Rhinolophus ferrumequinum: one gene and its partner. The protein of the gene in region 1 purifies or fractionates together with the protein of each later gene. This does not show direct contact. Links are inferred from orthologs where the notes say so. Each region holds a gene or a part of one and is shown on either strand. Other genes may lie near its edges.

Evidence for each region.
Region 2: the proteins of GTF2H4 (region 1) and MNAT1 purify together in Homo sapiens (co-immunoprecipitation; 3 studies listed by BioGRID and IntAct, with this or other methods). This does not show direct contact. The link is inferred for Rhinolophus ferrumequinum from reciprocal best matches to the Homo sapiens genes GTF2H4 and MNAT1.

What each region holds. Positions count from the first base shown.
Region 1 is NC_046286.1:1,466,625-1,474,761, forward strand, and holds the start of GTF2H4 (general transcription factor IIH subunit 4), read left to right. Parts: upstream 1-5,096; 5' UTR 5,097-5,302; intron 5,303-5,940; 5' UTR 5,941-5,943; coding exon 5,944-6,083; intron 6,084-6,353; coding exon 6,354-6,458; intron 6,459-6,800; coding exon 6,801-6,932; intron 6,933-7,159; coding exon 7,160-7,256; intron 7,257-7,345; coding exon 7,346-7,434; intron 7,435-7,648; coding exon 7,649-7,760; intron 7,761-7,893; coding exon 7,894-7,962; intron 7,963-8,137. Other genes in the region: DDR1 (epithelial discoidin domain-containing receptor 1), read left to right, coding at 1-135. UniProt on the Homo sapiens protein: Component of the general transcription and DNA repair factor IIH (TFIIH) core complex, which is involved in general and transcription-coupled nucleotide excision repair (NER) of damaged DNA and, when complexed to CAK, in RNA transcription by RNA polymerase II.
Region 2 is NC_046289.1:34,221,780-34,229,515, reverse strand, and holds the start of MNAT1 (CDK-activating kinase assembly factor MAT1), read left to right. Parts: upstream 1-4,595; 5' UTR 4,596-4,713; coding exon 4,714-4,802; intron 4,803-7,736.

The DNA of each region.
Region 1 (8,137 bases):
CTCTCGCGGCCACCTGCCTGCCCACTGGGCCTGTATGAGCTGATGCTTCGGTGCTGGAGCCGGGAGCCTGAGCAGCGACCGCCCTTTTCCCAGCTGCACCGGTTCTTGGCCGAGGATGCACTCAACACCGCGTGAATCATGACCCCCAGCCACCCCTCCCTCCTCAGGGAGGGTTTCGGGGAAGCCAGTGGCACAAAGAAGAGGAGCTAATGGCACCTCCACTCTCCCCCTAACTGCCCTTCACCTCTGAGAGAGGCGCAGTGTGACCGAAGGTGGGCTGGGCCTGCCAGGAAGCTGATGACCTCCCTTCCTCCTGCCCCCCCTTCCTGCTCCTCTTCTAGAAGCTTCTGCCACCCACCCAGCTGGCCCTGTGGATGGGACCGTCTCGGACCTCTTCTAGCCATCCCTTGGGGAGGGTGGGGGCAAATACAGGGCAGACACTGGACATGGCCCCCTGGAGCACCTGGGCCCCCTTGGACAACACTGGTTCCTGGAGGGAAGGCTGTGCCCCGCAGCCTCTCTCTTTCTGGCACACACTGGACCCCACTGGCTGAGATTTTGTGGAGTGAGGAGGACAAAAACGGGAGAAAGATGTTCCCTTGTGCCTACTCCTGGAATTGTCCTCAGCTTTGGCTTTTCCCCCTCCATCCTCTGAAACACTGGACCTGGGCTTGATTCCTGCCCCCAAACCCCACCTCCCATCTGCCATGTTGTAGCTAGAACTTCTCTAAGCCTGTATGTTTCTGTGGAATAAATACTGGGATTAGGGGGAAAGAGGGAGCAAAGGCCTAGGGCCCGGGGGTTGGATATCTCTATCATAGCTGCCACATTGGTTTTTCTATAATCACTTGGGTTTGTACATTTTTGGGGGGAGAGAGACAGATTTTTACACTAATATATGGATCTAGCTCAATGCAATTTTAATCCCCTGCACTAGGCAGGTAATAATAAAGGTTGAGTTTTCCACAGCTGTGAGTAGGTTTCTTGGGGTTTTGGTAAAATCTGCCTCCTGCCCCTCCCTTCCCCCATCCCATTTTCTTCTCTTTTTCCTCCTCCCCGTTCCATTTCCTACCACGTATTTTGCCCAACATAGTGTTCTGTGTCTCCATAAGCCAGGTCCTTGCTTGTGGGACCTGAGGTCCCACATGAATGTATGAACCTTGTCAACTCCAACACAAGCTCTGCAGGAGGCTGGGAGGGAGGTGGAGTAAGCCTCCAGTCTTAACCTCGTTTGACCCACTGACCCCTGTGGCAGCCTGGCGAGATCTGATTCCACCTCAGAATTATGTTTTAAAACCCATTAAAAGGAGGGTGTGTATGTATAGATACATGATTATAGAGGAAGTCAACTGAAAGAGTTTACAAAAATGTTAAAAAATTATATATTAACGTGGTTCTTTTAAATATATTTAATAACAAGATCTAGCAACAACTACTGACATTTCCAAATAGTATAACGATAAATGACATTCTGAGATTTCTACAACTACAGTGAGATATGAAAATAGCTGCGATGTCTATTAATGTAAGTCACACGCTAACACTACTGAGGGTTTTGCTCATATTCATACTTGGAGGGAATGCTAAATTTCAGTTAGAAATTTAGAGGTTCATAAAAATAGATGTGTCGTTTTTTTCCTAGCCCACATTCTAGGACACACGCCCCCCCCCCCCCCCACACACACACGAGTCTGGAAGTCCCCAGTGGAGAATCCCTGGATTACGCTGATCAAGTGTGTAAATCACCCAATGGGTGTGAGCTGTCTCGCTGGGAGCCAGAAGCAAGAGCCTAAATGATCTCAGGCTTGGAAGGATGAGCTACAACCACCAAAAAAACATTTAACAAAGTTAGAAAGAAAAAGAAAAATCAGTTGCAAATATTAGGAAAGACATGATGGTAGTCCATGTGAAACAAAGGTCATGGTTGATAGTCACAAAATGAGCCAACTGGATAATGAGGATAAAAATAAAGACAATTTAATCTTATGTTGAATTATAGGCCGTTGGGGTCCAGGACACAGATCTGAGTTCTGCTGAAACCTACGCTGGCCAGGTCACTGTGACCCATGATTTAAGACGGGCACTGACAGGTCAAGAGTTTCGAAGCCAGAATGCATAATGGTGAGCAATGGAAGCCGTGCAGTGAGCGGAGAACTCCCGAATCTCTAGCTCAGAACTCTCTATGAAGCTCTAAAGCTGTGCAACCACCTAGAGGTCCACCGAGAAGTGCAGATCTGTCAGTCTCAGCGTGTCCAAGCTGGCCCCTCCCATGTCATCTCCTGCCTCACTGAATGGCAGCACTATCCACTCAGTTGCACAAGCCAGAAACCTGGGGATCATCCTCGACACCCTTTTCCCTACTCTCCCCTCACAAATCCAGTCTATCACGTAGCTCTGTCGATTTCGCTTCCCCACTTTCCCTTCAATCCCTCATTTCTTCCCATCTCCATCTTGCCTGGTCTCTCCTAGCATCTGTTTCCGCTCCTCTCCAGTTTGCTCCAGTTTGGTCCTTGCAGCCAGTGACCTTGAAAACACAGAAATCCGACCTCATTCCGTTATTTCAAACCCTTGAATGGCTACCCATTGACATCAGAATAAGAACAAAATCTTCTTGGCCAACTTTAGCGCCCCCACCCCATCTTCAGGGTGGGTCCTTCCCACCCTCTCTTTGCACCACTGGCCTTTCAGTCCTGCCTGCCACAAGGACTTCATAGCATGCTGTCCCCATCTGGAACACAATTCCCTGCTGTCTTTGCTTTGATAACTCCTGCTTGTCCTTCAGCAGCCTTCCCTAACTTGCCAACCAGGTCAGATCTCCTCTTGAGGCTTTCAGAGAACGGGACTCGCTTCTTTATAGCACTTACTACGGGGGTGCCATTTTACATTTTTTTTTGTTAAGAAAATGTTTATTGAGCATCTACTATGTGCCAGGTGCCATGCTTATTACATATCATATCTTATTTAATATCACAACATAGGAAGTAGCTAAAACTATTGCCATTTCACAGAGAAGAAAACTGTTAGGTTAAGCCACTTGCCCAAGGCAGCACAATGGTAAAGGGTGAAGCTGGTGGGAAGCAGCCCACGACTCCTGGATCTCTGTTCTCTCTCCAGGATGCTGCCTGAGGGGAGGAGGTCATGAACTCTACATCACAGGAAGTTTTCTCAGCACAAGCTGGATAGCCTTATTATGTCAGGGGGCTCTTTCTGCATTTCAGCTCCCAGGAGACCACGCTGATTTTCTTCTTGAAGGCCAGTTCCAGGAACTCAGTCTGCTTGGTTCCTGCCATCAGACACCTGCCCTCATCCACTGCATCCCTCCAAGCAGGGGTCAGAGCTCCTTGATGAGGGAAAGGTCTATATCTGCACCATCCAATCAGTAGCGACTACTGAGTACTTGAAATGGGGCTAATGTTGACTGAGGAACTGAATTTAAATTTTGTTTGAGTTAATTTAAATGTAAATAGCTACAGGTGGCTAGGCTCCTATTCTGGACAGTGTAGCCCGAGTTTTCCCCACATTGTAGAGAACTGTGACCTGATCTACCCAGCTTCCTTTGCTTGCTCCCATCAAAATGACCTCTCTGAGTTTTACACACACATGAAAGCTTCTTACAAATATGGCATTGGATTGTGTACGCCATTTTGTAATCTGCGTTTCTTCCCCTCATGACAGGTCGTATGCAGTTGTCAGTATGCATAGTGACCTCCTCTCTAAGTGTTCTCCAGTATTCTACATGTAACGATCCACATTTCATCTAACCAACTCCTAATAATGGACACTTAGGCTGTTTCCATTGTTTTCATAATGCAACAACAGATACACTCCAATAAACATCTTTGCACCCAGGTGGGAGAATTTCAGTATGATGCATTCCTAAAAGTATAGCCACATTAAAATCCTTGGTATATACAGCCAAATTGCCCTTAAGAAAGCATGCTTCCATTAACCTTCAACAAAAGTATATGAGTATCCTCATAGTCTCATATACATCGAGGTAGTCAATCCTTAATCGTTTTTTAATTGGATATGTTATTGTTTCTTTAATTTGCTTTTCCTAAATTACTAGTGAAGTTGAGAGTTTTCATTTGAAGTCATTTGTATTTCTTCTGTTTATCGCCTATTTTCTATTTTGTCAATCTTTCCATTGTGATGTTACTTTTTCTTATTGCTTTGTAAGAGTTCTTTGTATTTTGTCCATTTTATCAAATACTTCTTTCCAGAATCTAATTTTAACTGTACTTAACACAAAGAAGCTTTCTCAGTTTTGTGGCATTCTTTGAGGATTTTAAACATTGATTGCTAAAGAAACGGAACAATGAAACAAACATGGGTGGGCTACAACGCACGGCAAAGTCTTACACAGACAGTCCTTATTACCATTTTAGTCCCTCGTCCCTGGCAAATGTACTTAATATTCCTGCCTCGGTACTTTCTAGTCCAATCGCGGGCAAATTTTCTCTCACTAGACTTTGGTCTTCCGGTCTGTAAAATGCGAATAATAAAACTTGCCTCATGAGAACTTAGGAAGCCTGTAGCTCCGGCCTTGGCTAAAGACGTTCCCTTCCCTTTCGCTGCAATAGGTTCATAAATCAAATCAAAGCGTACAATTTTTAAAATTGTATTTACTAGTATCTTTTAACTAAACGGGAGGCGGGAGCATGGTGGACGTGGCAACTAGATCCAGTTAACTCCTAACTCGCGAAAACGCTCTGTAGAGCGCTTTAAGCCAATTTCACCTGGATCAGCTGAGCTCAAGGAACCCAGTTTCGTGCGTGTCTAAAACTAAGCGCCTTACCATCCAGCCGTCTCCACACCTCCGCCAGTAGGTCCTCGGGGTACTTCTTCTCCCAGGGTCCCGCCTCCCGTACCGGTCGGTTAGACATGCCGTTGGAGGCGTGCGTGGAGAGAGACGCGGAACCAAGTGACCCGGCCTCCGGTGTCCTGAGCTCTCTCAATGAAAGGCCAGGCTCTTTCCTCGCTGTTTCCCCGCGGTGCCTTTCGGGAGCTGTAGTCAGACGCGCTTCAGCCGGCTCTGGGGTGAGGAAGGACAAAACTCCAATTCCCAGTGTGCTCCGCGCCGGGCGAGTGCAGCGCCCATTCTTATCCTACCCACTTTTTCTTTCCTCTTCTGAATCCCCTGCTCCGAACTCCTGTCTGTGAAATCCTTCGTCGCTCTCCCCATCTTTTTCTCTCATTTTCACCATACTTTTCCCTATTTCCCAGAGCCAGTGCAAGGCCCTGGTTCCGATTAAGCGACTGCTTGAGACTCGGGTGCACGAGGGGGAACTGACCCAGAGTGGTAAGGGGGCCGGGAGAGAGCGGGTGGCGGAGTGTACGAGTTGAGTAAGAGGCGAGGAATGGGAGGAAAGTAGCGAAGTTAGGAGGTCGAACGGTATGGATCAGGTTGAATGGGGTGAAGTGGTCTTTGGAGGGAGGAGGGAAAAGGAGAGGAAAGAGGTGGAATTAGATTCGGGAGACATGGAGGGGAAAGGTAGTTTATTGCCGTACCCAGCAGAAGTGGGATCAAGAAATAGATGGGAAGGTCTGACAGATGTAGAGCTTATAAGTAGATCCGACCAGGAGAGGTGGTAGGGAGAGAGGATTGGGCTCAAACAAGTCTCTTTGTCACTGCTTAGTAAAGATGAGCAATCACTGGCACACAAAATGATTTTGCAAATATGGGACAATGAAAAATTCTGTTACTTGGAAATCAAGTGAAGACTGGAGCTGAGGCCAGAAGTGGGGTGAGAAGGCAGGGAAAGAGGGGAAGTCAGTCAGGTTTGGGAGAAACTAGAGGAGATGAATGACATTCAAAAGGGAACCATAGAAAAGATGGGTTATTGTGGGGGCCAGTGGATCTGGGATCGGAATGAGAAAGGTGAGGGGTGACACTGGCATGGATTGAGGGATTGCGTTTCTAACGCTTGCATCTTTCAGGTGATGGAGAGCATCCCGTCAAGGGGTGGGCTGAACCGAGTACACCTACAATGCAGGAATCTGCAGGAATTTCTAGGGGGTCTGAGCCCTGGGGTATTGGACCGATTATATGGGCACCCTGCCACCTGTCTGGCTGTCTTCAGGTGAGGGTGCCCTTCACAGCAGGGACCATGGTGGGGAAATGTAATGGGGCCTGCAGACTGGGATAAGTTATCATGGATAGAAGCTTCGTTCTACAGGGCGTAAAGATTAAAGTGTGTCAGGCCAAAACAGATGGTGTTTGTTGGGGCAGCAAGACTGGTAAAGGGGTGGAGGGTGAGATGAGATGTTTGAGAGGCTAAGACACAGGTTGAGGGCAGAGATGCAGATCTAAGGCAGTTGCTGACAGTAACATTTTTCCTCTCCCCCTGCAGGGAGCTCCCACCTCTGGCTAAGAACTGGGTGATGCGCATGCTCTTTCTGGAGCAGCCTCTGCCACAAGCTGCTGTAGCCCTGTGGGTAAAGAAGGAATTCAGCAAGTGAGTGCTGTATTCCCAGCCAGATACCAATTTCTCAATGGCTAGATTTCCCCAACTGCTGTTCCTTGGAACATTTTTCAGGAAAGATTAATGGGTACACCATAAGACTTGTAATTAAATAAGTTTGGGAAACTGTATACTGTATTTTCCCTCTTGGAGAGTTGTGAGGTCTATAACAAGGCTCTGGCAGGCGTTACAGTAAAGAAATTTGCCTTAAGACATTGATTTCACTCTGTGAAACAGTAATCCAAGGACTACTAGTTCAAAAGCAGAAATGGAGGCCTTCATGGGCCTTCTTTTTGTTCTCCAGACACACCTGTCACCTCTCTGCTTCTGTTTCAGAGCTCAGGAGGAAAGTACAGGGCTGCTGAGTGGCCTCCGTATCTGGCACACCCAGCTGCTCCCTGGTGGTCTCCAGGGCCTCATCCTCAACCCCATCTTCCGCCAGAACCTGCGCATTGCCCTTCTGGGTGGGTATGTCACTCCATCTCCTCCTAAGCTAGGCCGGGGAACTCCTTAGGGGCCTCTCTGGAACCTTGTGGGCTCCACCTTTGGCAGCTCCTTAGCAATAAGTTGGACCAGATGCATGGTGTAGGGAATGCCTCCCACTCATGGCCCATGGGGACAAAGGTAGAAAGAGGGCAGAGGAGTGGGCAGGGGACACAGGCAGGGCTCCTTACTCTTGGCCCATCCTGGCATAGGGGCAAGGCCTGGTCTGATGACACGAGTCAGCTGGGACCAGACAAGCATGCCCGGGATGTCCCGTCACTTGACAAGTACGCCGAGGAGCGATGGGAGGTGAGAACTTGCGACTCTGTGTGTGTCTCTGCTTATGCTCCTGCTTCCCATGGACCCCAGAGGCATCTCTATTCTCCTCCATTCCTCAGGTGGTCCTGCACTTCATGGTGGGCTCCCCCAGTGCAGCTGTCAGCCAGGACTTGGCTCAGCTCCTCAGCCAGGCTGGGCTCATGAAGAGGTGAGGAAGCCCGAGGCACAACAGCTCCCGGCTTTGCCATCTCCTTGGGTCGCTGCCAAACTGAGTGTCCAGGCGGGTCAGGATTGGAGGGCGTTGAAGAAGGACAGCTGAGTGGAGTACAGCGAGAGATAAACCAAGAGCAGACGTGAGCGGTCGGTGGGGCTGGTGGCCATTCTGTGCACACCTGTCCCATTGTCCCTCTCCACGTGTCTAGTACCGAGCCCGGAGAGCCTCCCTGCATTACCTCTGCTGGCTTCCAGTTCCTGCTGCTGGACACCCCTGCCCAGCTCTGGTACTTTATGTTGCAGTATCTACAGACAGCCCAGGTGAGGAGTGCAGCGTCTGCTTGTGGGTGTGCTCTGCTCTTCTCAGGACACACCGAGAGATTACTGCCTACAGACTGCTCCCTGATTTTCTCCCTCCCATCCCGTCCCCTTGTCTGTGCCCATTCCTCCCTAGAGTCGGGGCATGGACCTAGTGGAGATCCTCTCCTTCCTCTTCCAGCTCAGCTTCTCTACTCTAGGCAAGGTAAGCAGGGGCTGGAGCTGGGGGGTCGGGTGGGTGGGCCGAAGGGGAGCGAGATGGGGAGGGCAATGGGGCTATGGGGCAATAGAGTGAAGTAAGAAGGAACAGCCAGAGGTGGGAAGACGGAACGAGCTTGTGGTTTGGGAGAGGGACATGGGATGTGTTTGGACCCCAGCTG
Region 2 (7,736 bases), on another chromosome or scaffold:
CAAAGTAGGAAACTTTTCAATTGTATATACCTAAGGAAAATTCATTTGGCTATATTATGGGGCTATCCAAGTTCAGGTCATAGAGGAGTCTTCTTCTGGTGTATCATCAATCAAATATAGTGCATTGACTTGGAAAACCATGTCTTGGGTTTCTGCATGTCTTCAATATAGTGCCTCCCAAGCACCAAGTTCAACAAATTATATAGAAGCAGCAGTGACCTTTTGTGATATCTGTAGCCTGAGCTACATTGGTATTCTATAGCTCCAGGAGGAGATTCCTGTAGGACCAGAAGTGAAATCCAACACCAGGCTCCGGATTCCTTTAGCAGGCTGAGCCTCAGAGCTCATTCTGGCAGCAATTCAAAGTGGACTGGACGCCCTTGACCCAAACATGGTCAACTACAATGGGACACCAGACTTGAGCATGTGTAGAGTTAATCTCATAACACTGGTTTTGCCAAACTATTTGTAAAATTAATGAATATTTGCTTCTACTTCCTATGTCTGCCATGTTGTGAACACTGAGTCTGCTGTGCTGATTTGCAGTCCAAAGCTGTGTTGTGATTTGGAAAAACAGAGTTGAGGCTGGGATTGTGTGAGAGTGAGAACCAAGCTGCTTGTTTCTGTATCTTTCCACCTTGCCTGAAGATAGTGATGACAGTATACGGAAATGTTTTGCCATTTTAGTGTATTGAAGAAAATTTGGTTCAGCACAAAATGTTATACTTTTCTTGAGTATATTTAATTGTGTTGCCACCATGAATAGAGATTTCCTTTTCCAAGGCTGACTTTGGCTGTCTGGAAGATAGAGGGAAGATCATATAACTATATCTTGGTGGGCTCTTTCTATTTCAGAAAGCTTATTTACTGGTACTGTTAAGAACGTTAGGTGCTACATTTATCTTTCAGGTAGAGGAGGTGTTCCATTGTTACTTAGTAACCAATGGTTGATGATATGTAACCAACATTTCTGAAGATCATTCATTTGCCAAACATTTATTGAGTCCTCAGTAAGTAAAAAGTATTGCATCAGGTACTGAGGGATGGAAAGATGAATAATAGATTGGGGTCTCTGACCCTCATGAGCTTAAAATCTGGTGGGGGAGATAAGACATATTTATAAGTAAATAGTTTACAGGGTATGGGAGTGATGGGGATAAAGAGACTGATTTTGAGAGGAGGAGGGCAACGGGAAGTGGATTTTTCGTTGGGCCTTTAAGGACAAGAATTTTGAGAGGACAGGATAAAGTTCATTAGAGGCAGAGGGAACAAAATGAGTAAACATGGAGCCATGAAAGTATGTGGTATATAGTATTTGAAATATTGAGGTAATTCAGTGTGTCTGAAGTGTTGTGTTTTATGTAAATGTGAGGTGGGAGATTAGCTTAAAAGGCATGTTGGGGACAAACTATGAAGGACTTTGAGTAAAACGCTCAGTTTGCTGTGGTATAGTGGACAGAGCGGTGCATTTACAGTGGCTATGTCTGCATAATATGATGGCCACAGTTGATTTGTCCAGGGATGGGCACTTGCCTCAAGCCAAAACAGTCAGAATCCTTTTCTGGGGTTTTTCAAACTTGCATGAGGAAAAGAGTTAAGACTGGTAGAGGGAAGCTTCGATGTAATGCTTGGAAGTTCTCAGTGACTAAGCCATCTACCTGTGGGATGCTGATGAGCACGAGGTGAGAGAGAGGGTGACTTAGTGAGTTGCATGGGTGATAGTGTAGGGAAAAATCCTGGCAGAGATGGAATGAGTGTCAGGTCCTATCATCATTTCTGAGATACAGCAGCATTCTTGCCTTTTTGTGGTAATACGTATGAATTTCTCTAGGAGCAAGAAACCCCATTTGAATTTTCCTAGGAAAAAAAGATTAATTTATTGGATCATGATACCAAACAATGTGAAGAGCAGAAATACAGCTGGTTGGACTTGAAGATTTATTGTCCCATGTCACTTGTCTCTGCCTTTCTCACCAAGTTAGTTTTAGTCTTTCAAAGAGGCTGTCCCCAGAAGGTTTGGAACCATGGCTCTCAGTAATTCCCAGCTCACATTTTCCAACTTCATTAAAGAGGCTCTGCTGCTTTCCCCTTACTGTTAATTTGAAAAATTCTAGGGAAGATTTCTGATTGGTCCTGGAAGGGTTGTATGTCAACCCCTAGGCCAGAGAGCCAGCATTGTGTTGGTAGGCCCATTAGAACACCAGAAGCCTGTGGGAGAGGATCGATTTTCTGTAAGATGGGCGAGGGATAATATACAAATGTGCCCTTCAGATGAGGAAAGCCCAACGTAGATCCATAGCCTTGGGACTGGGAAGGAGGGTCTGCATTTGAGATACACTGCCCCAAGAAGTAGAATTTACTCTTAACCGAGATAGGAATGTTAGATCATGAGCAGATTTGGGAAGAGAAATAACGGGTTCAATTGGTTCATTGTTGGGATACGTCTGTCTTCAGAAATATAGAAAGCTTGATAGTTTGGTGGTTTTAACATAGGCTGAGGTTCTTTTTGAATCAGAAGTCTGATGCTGTCAGTGCTTTCCTTTTCAAAGCTTTCTGACCATTCTATGTTAGTGAACCCCACCTGTAATAATGGTGTACATTTCAGAGTTTCTATTATGTATGAAGCATTATAGTAGGGCCTTTGTATGTGTACACGTCATGTAATTTAGTCATTACAGCAACCCTGCAGTGTATTATATGGACAAAGGAAGCAGGTAAGGGCGAGTAAGAAATTTGGGGCAAAATCAGTCTGTCTGATTTAAAAGGATAGGCTCTTCCCATTACATTACCCTGCTTTTTAAGGCTACTACTGCTAATAATACTCATACCACTAAGAATAATGGCTAACAGTTATTGAACTCTTACTCTCTGCTAAGTACTGTGTTAAGCACTTTAAATGAAATATCTTATTTATCCTCAAATTATAGTTGGGAAAACTGAGGCCTGAGGTCACGTGGCTAGTAAGTGATGAAGCCTATACTTTAATCCAGCCAAATCCACATACACTACTTTCTACTGTCTCTAGCTCCATGATTATTGTAGTAATGTAGTATTGGCTAAAAATTGTATTTGCTCAGTGACCATATTCACTCTTCCACCAGAAGTTTCCTATTCTGTTAAAATATAAAGATCCTAAAAGTTGCCTTTATTCTTAGAGAGCTTCACTCTGAGTCATATAACTGGTTTGGATGTGGTCTCTTTCAATAAGACAACAGCAGCATAGAAAGCTTCCAGGTCAGTACAGCAGTTGGCATTACCCATTTTAGTAAACTTCAATTTGGTTCACTCCTATTAATGAACAATATTATGATGCAGATGACATGATTTATTTATTAGGGGAATCCCTGTTGTCTATATAAAGTACTGTGCTACCATGGCCTGTTGTCTATATAAAGCTCTGTGCTACCATGGCCTGTTTGGTCTGCTGATTTCCAAATGTGGTATCTAGAGCTGTTTGTCAGGTTCTGCCTTCATAACCCATGGAAACCCCAACTGTATTTCCACACTGTGAGTTGCTTACTAGGTTCACTGTTTAAAAAAGGTGGGAGTTGGAATGTTCCTTTTTATTGAAAAGAGCAAAAATGCTATGGAAAGTTTGTTACTATGAGTATATACAGCATGTATTCATTGTGTGGGTTAATGTGAAAAGCTTTTTCTGCATGCCCACTTCTGATGGAATTTGGGCCAAATTACAAGATAATGGTTGGCATAATTTTTTTCACATTACACTACAATTTGATGGTCATTCATTCATTTTTCATTTACTCATTCAGTAAGTATCAACAAATCCTTGTTATGAAGTGAATAAGATGTGCCCTTACAGGAGTTTATTATCTAATAGAGCTGTTTACAGACGTCACTTTGCAGTCTTGATAAATGCAGTGAATGTGGCTTACCATTTCCAAAGAGATGCAGGCTCTCAAATCTTAGAATTAATGAAATTAATAGTGTATATTCTTGTGTGGTTTCCACCCCAGTATTTGGGGAAATAAATATTGTTTTTGATGGGGGGGAGGGTCAGAGATATTAGAGCCAGGTGACGCCGGTAGGCCAGGTGACACTGTTAATCTCTGCAGAGCAGATGTCAGATATTATTTATAGACTATTCTGACATTTAGTGAGAATCTAACATTTGGGGTCCGTGTAGAGACTTTCATTCTATATAACTTTTCCAAACTTTCTATCTGCGAATGCATAGTATTTCTGTGCTTGCATGACTGTGCAAGTATAAAGGAGAAGAATAAAGTATAGACTAACCAAATTGTTCAAAAGAAAATACAAATTTGAATTATTGAATCTACTATGTACACCGGGCATAAATCTTTGAAGCCAGGGGAATGTTTTCAGACATAACAAGATGGAATCTATGTTCCTAATTGTGACACAGTTCCTTGAAAAAAATTCAGCTGGGTGCACTGAGATGAGGCTTTGTGTACAATTTGCCATTTTAAAAGCCCTTCCCCGAAATCCAAGGTATTGCGCTAGCTCTCGGAAGCGAAGACGGAACCCCAGCGACAGGACCGGAAAACTCGCTGCCGGAACGTTTGTGCTGCAGGGCCTTGCCCCCGGCCGGTGCTCATTTGCTAAGGGACCGTCTCAGCAAAGTGCCCGTTGGTAGGAACCTGGTTAGCGTCGGGTCTGAGGGGGGATTGGAGGTGACTGGAGCTGTGGCTGAAGCCGGCGTTGGGGAGAGTCCCTACGAAAGAAGGTGCCATGGACGATCAGGGCTGCCCCCGGTGTAAGACCACCAAATACCGGAACCCCTCCTTGAAGCTGATGGTGAATGTGTGCGGACACACTCTGTGAGTTGGGAGACAGTGGATATCATGGGAATGAGAAGAACAGGGTTGGATGAGAGAGCTGAAAGATGCTTGGCCTCGGTTCACGGGGAAAACAGGGCGTCATTAGTTTCGGTACTGGGGAGGAAAATAGGAAAAAGGAACCTTATTTCTGTAAACTGACTGTAGCCGCTAGCCCTAAGCCGCTTTGGCCTGCTTTGCACTGCCGGTTCCCAGATGTACTTAGCAGCTGGTCAGGTTGCCCCGTCCATAGCTGATGAAAATCTTGACGATATTTCCAGGCTGTATTGTCCACTGGGGGCCAGACATATCGCTGGTTAAAAGCGTGGGGGATCGGAGTGTTTAATTGCACGCGAATTTTTTTTTTTAAATGAAAAAAGCGAAAGTTATGAAAACAAAATTACTGTGAGTATAAACTGCTGCTTTTGTGTGAGTTAATTTGAAAATCCCGTCTGTATGCCCACTTGTCCTGATGGAGTTTGGTTAGACTTTCATCACTGAAAGGGAGAAAATATAGACTCTAGACAGTAAATTTTATTACAGTGGCTGGCATTTATTGAGTGCACATTATGTGCCAGGCACTGTTCTAACAGCTTTACCGTGAATCATGTCACTTCATTCTCTCAACAGCCCCATGAAGTAGGTGTTAATATCACTACCATTTCTTAGGGAAAGAAACCGAGACTGCTCAAGGTCCCTTATTAAGTGACGCTGCTAGAATTGGAACACAGGATGTCTGACTCTAGAACGCCCATTTTTGGAGGAGCGTGGGAGCCGGAGGGGGCAGGTTGAGTTTGGGTATTTTGAAGAATAAGTGCAGGAATTGGTTCAAGTGTTTCTTGCCATGTTTTTGTGGTCAGTAAAGGTAGTTCTGTAAAGCATGGATGTAAATTGCTATATTCCTAAAGTTTCTCGGAGGTTTCTTAAGAGATGAAAAAATGATGGATGTGCCTTTAGAGCAGCTCTTCTGCTCGACCCTTTCCAAACTCTTTGGAGTGTACTTTTTCTCCTAATAATGCCACCTTGAGCCATTGAGCTCTTGAGCCCTTTGAGCCTCTTGAGCCTTGCTTTTGCCCCCGGGTGGCTCCAAACACTTTGGAGTGTGCTTTTTCTTCTAGTAATGAACCTTGAGCCGCTTTTCTTTGTGCTTGGCCCGCTCCTAGTAATTCTTAGAGTGTACTATCTTTTCTAATAAGCAACTCTCTTTCCACTTTAAAAAAAAATGATGGATGATCTACAGTGTAGTAGACAAGGTCTTTGGGTAAGCATAAATTGCATGATTAATGGTAGTTATAATGATTTAATGGGATTTATTAACTCAATTGGTCTCTTTTTCTAATTAATCTTTATTTTTATCCTTTATCCATGATCAAATGATTTAAGATTAGAAATAAGGTAAAAGTAATCAAGTAGAATGCATGGAAAAGGAAAGTGAAGCAAACACTGTATGTAGACAATTAGTTTTTTAGAGAGATTCAGTTTCTCTTCATTTTCCTGTATCAGGTTTATTACATTCGGTGCTCAAGGAAAGGGAATTTACTTTTTTGGAAGGATACTAAATGTAATTAACTGGAAGAAATTTCTGCCCAGTAGATATGAGCCAATCAGGGAAGATTATGTGATTTCAGTAAAATAAATGGCACTAAAATTATTTTTTTAATTTTCAATTACAGATGACATGCAATATTATATTCGTTTCAGGTGCACAGCGTAGTGATTAGACATTTATATAACTTAATGTGATCACCCCGATAAGTCTGGTACCTATCTGACACCATACATAGTTGTTACAATATTAATTGACTATATTCTCTATGCTGTACTTTACATCACTGTGACTGTTTTTGTAACTGGCAATTGGCACTTTTTTTTTTTTTTTTTAAACCCTCTGGTCTCACTGTTCCTTTATTCCTCCTTTTCCTGTCTTGGTTGTTAAAGACATTTAAACAAATTTCCTGGCCTTCTCTAGGATCTGAGCCTCTTCATCAGGGATGTAAGTAACAGTGGGCCAGAACCATTAGAATTCCTGCCAGTTAGGGGAAACATTAGGCTAATCTTCCTTACATTGGCCTATAGCTGATACCGAGGAAGGCACATGAGCTCTAGCAGTTCTAAAATACAGAAGTTTACATAACTATAAGCAAAGCTTAATTTTTAGATTTAATTTTCTATTTTACTTTATGGTTAGTTTCAGGTGTACAAAACAATGTAATACTTAGACATTTATACCCCTCACAAAGTGATAACCCCCCTCCCCCAGTCTGCTAGCCCTCTGACATCGTATATAGCTGTTACAGTTCCCCTGACTCTGTTCCTTATGCTGTACTCCACATCCTGTGACTATATATATATATATATAAGTGAAATCATATGATAAATATGTCTTTATATAAATATATAATTATAGTTGACATTCATTATTATTCAGCTTCAGCTTCAGCTTCAGGTGTACACTGCAGTGGTCAGGTACCTACACCGTCCATGAAGTGATCTCCCTAATAAGACAAGTGTCCATCAAATACCCTACAAAATCTTTACAACATTATTGATTATATTCCCCGAACTTCTTGTATCCCCGTGGCCATTTTGTGGTTACTGATTGTGCTTTCTAATCCCCTCACCTTCTCCCTCATCCTCACCCCCTTCCCATCTAGCAGCCCTCAGTTTTTTCTCTACGTCTCTGAGACTCTTTCTGATTAGTTTGTTAATTTATTTTGTTCTTTAGATTCCACGTAAATGTGAGATCATATGGTATTTGTCTTTCTCCGTCTGACTTACTTCACTTAGTGTAATGTTCTTTAGGTCCATCCATATCATTGCGAATGCTAAGATTTCATTCTTCTTTATGGCCGAGTAATACTCCATTGTATAAATGTACCAGTTTCTTGATCCAGTCGTCTACTGATGGGCATTTCGGTTGTTTCCATGTCTTGGCTA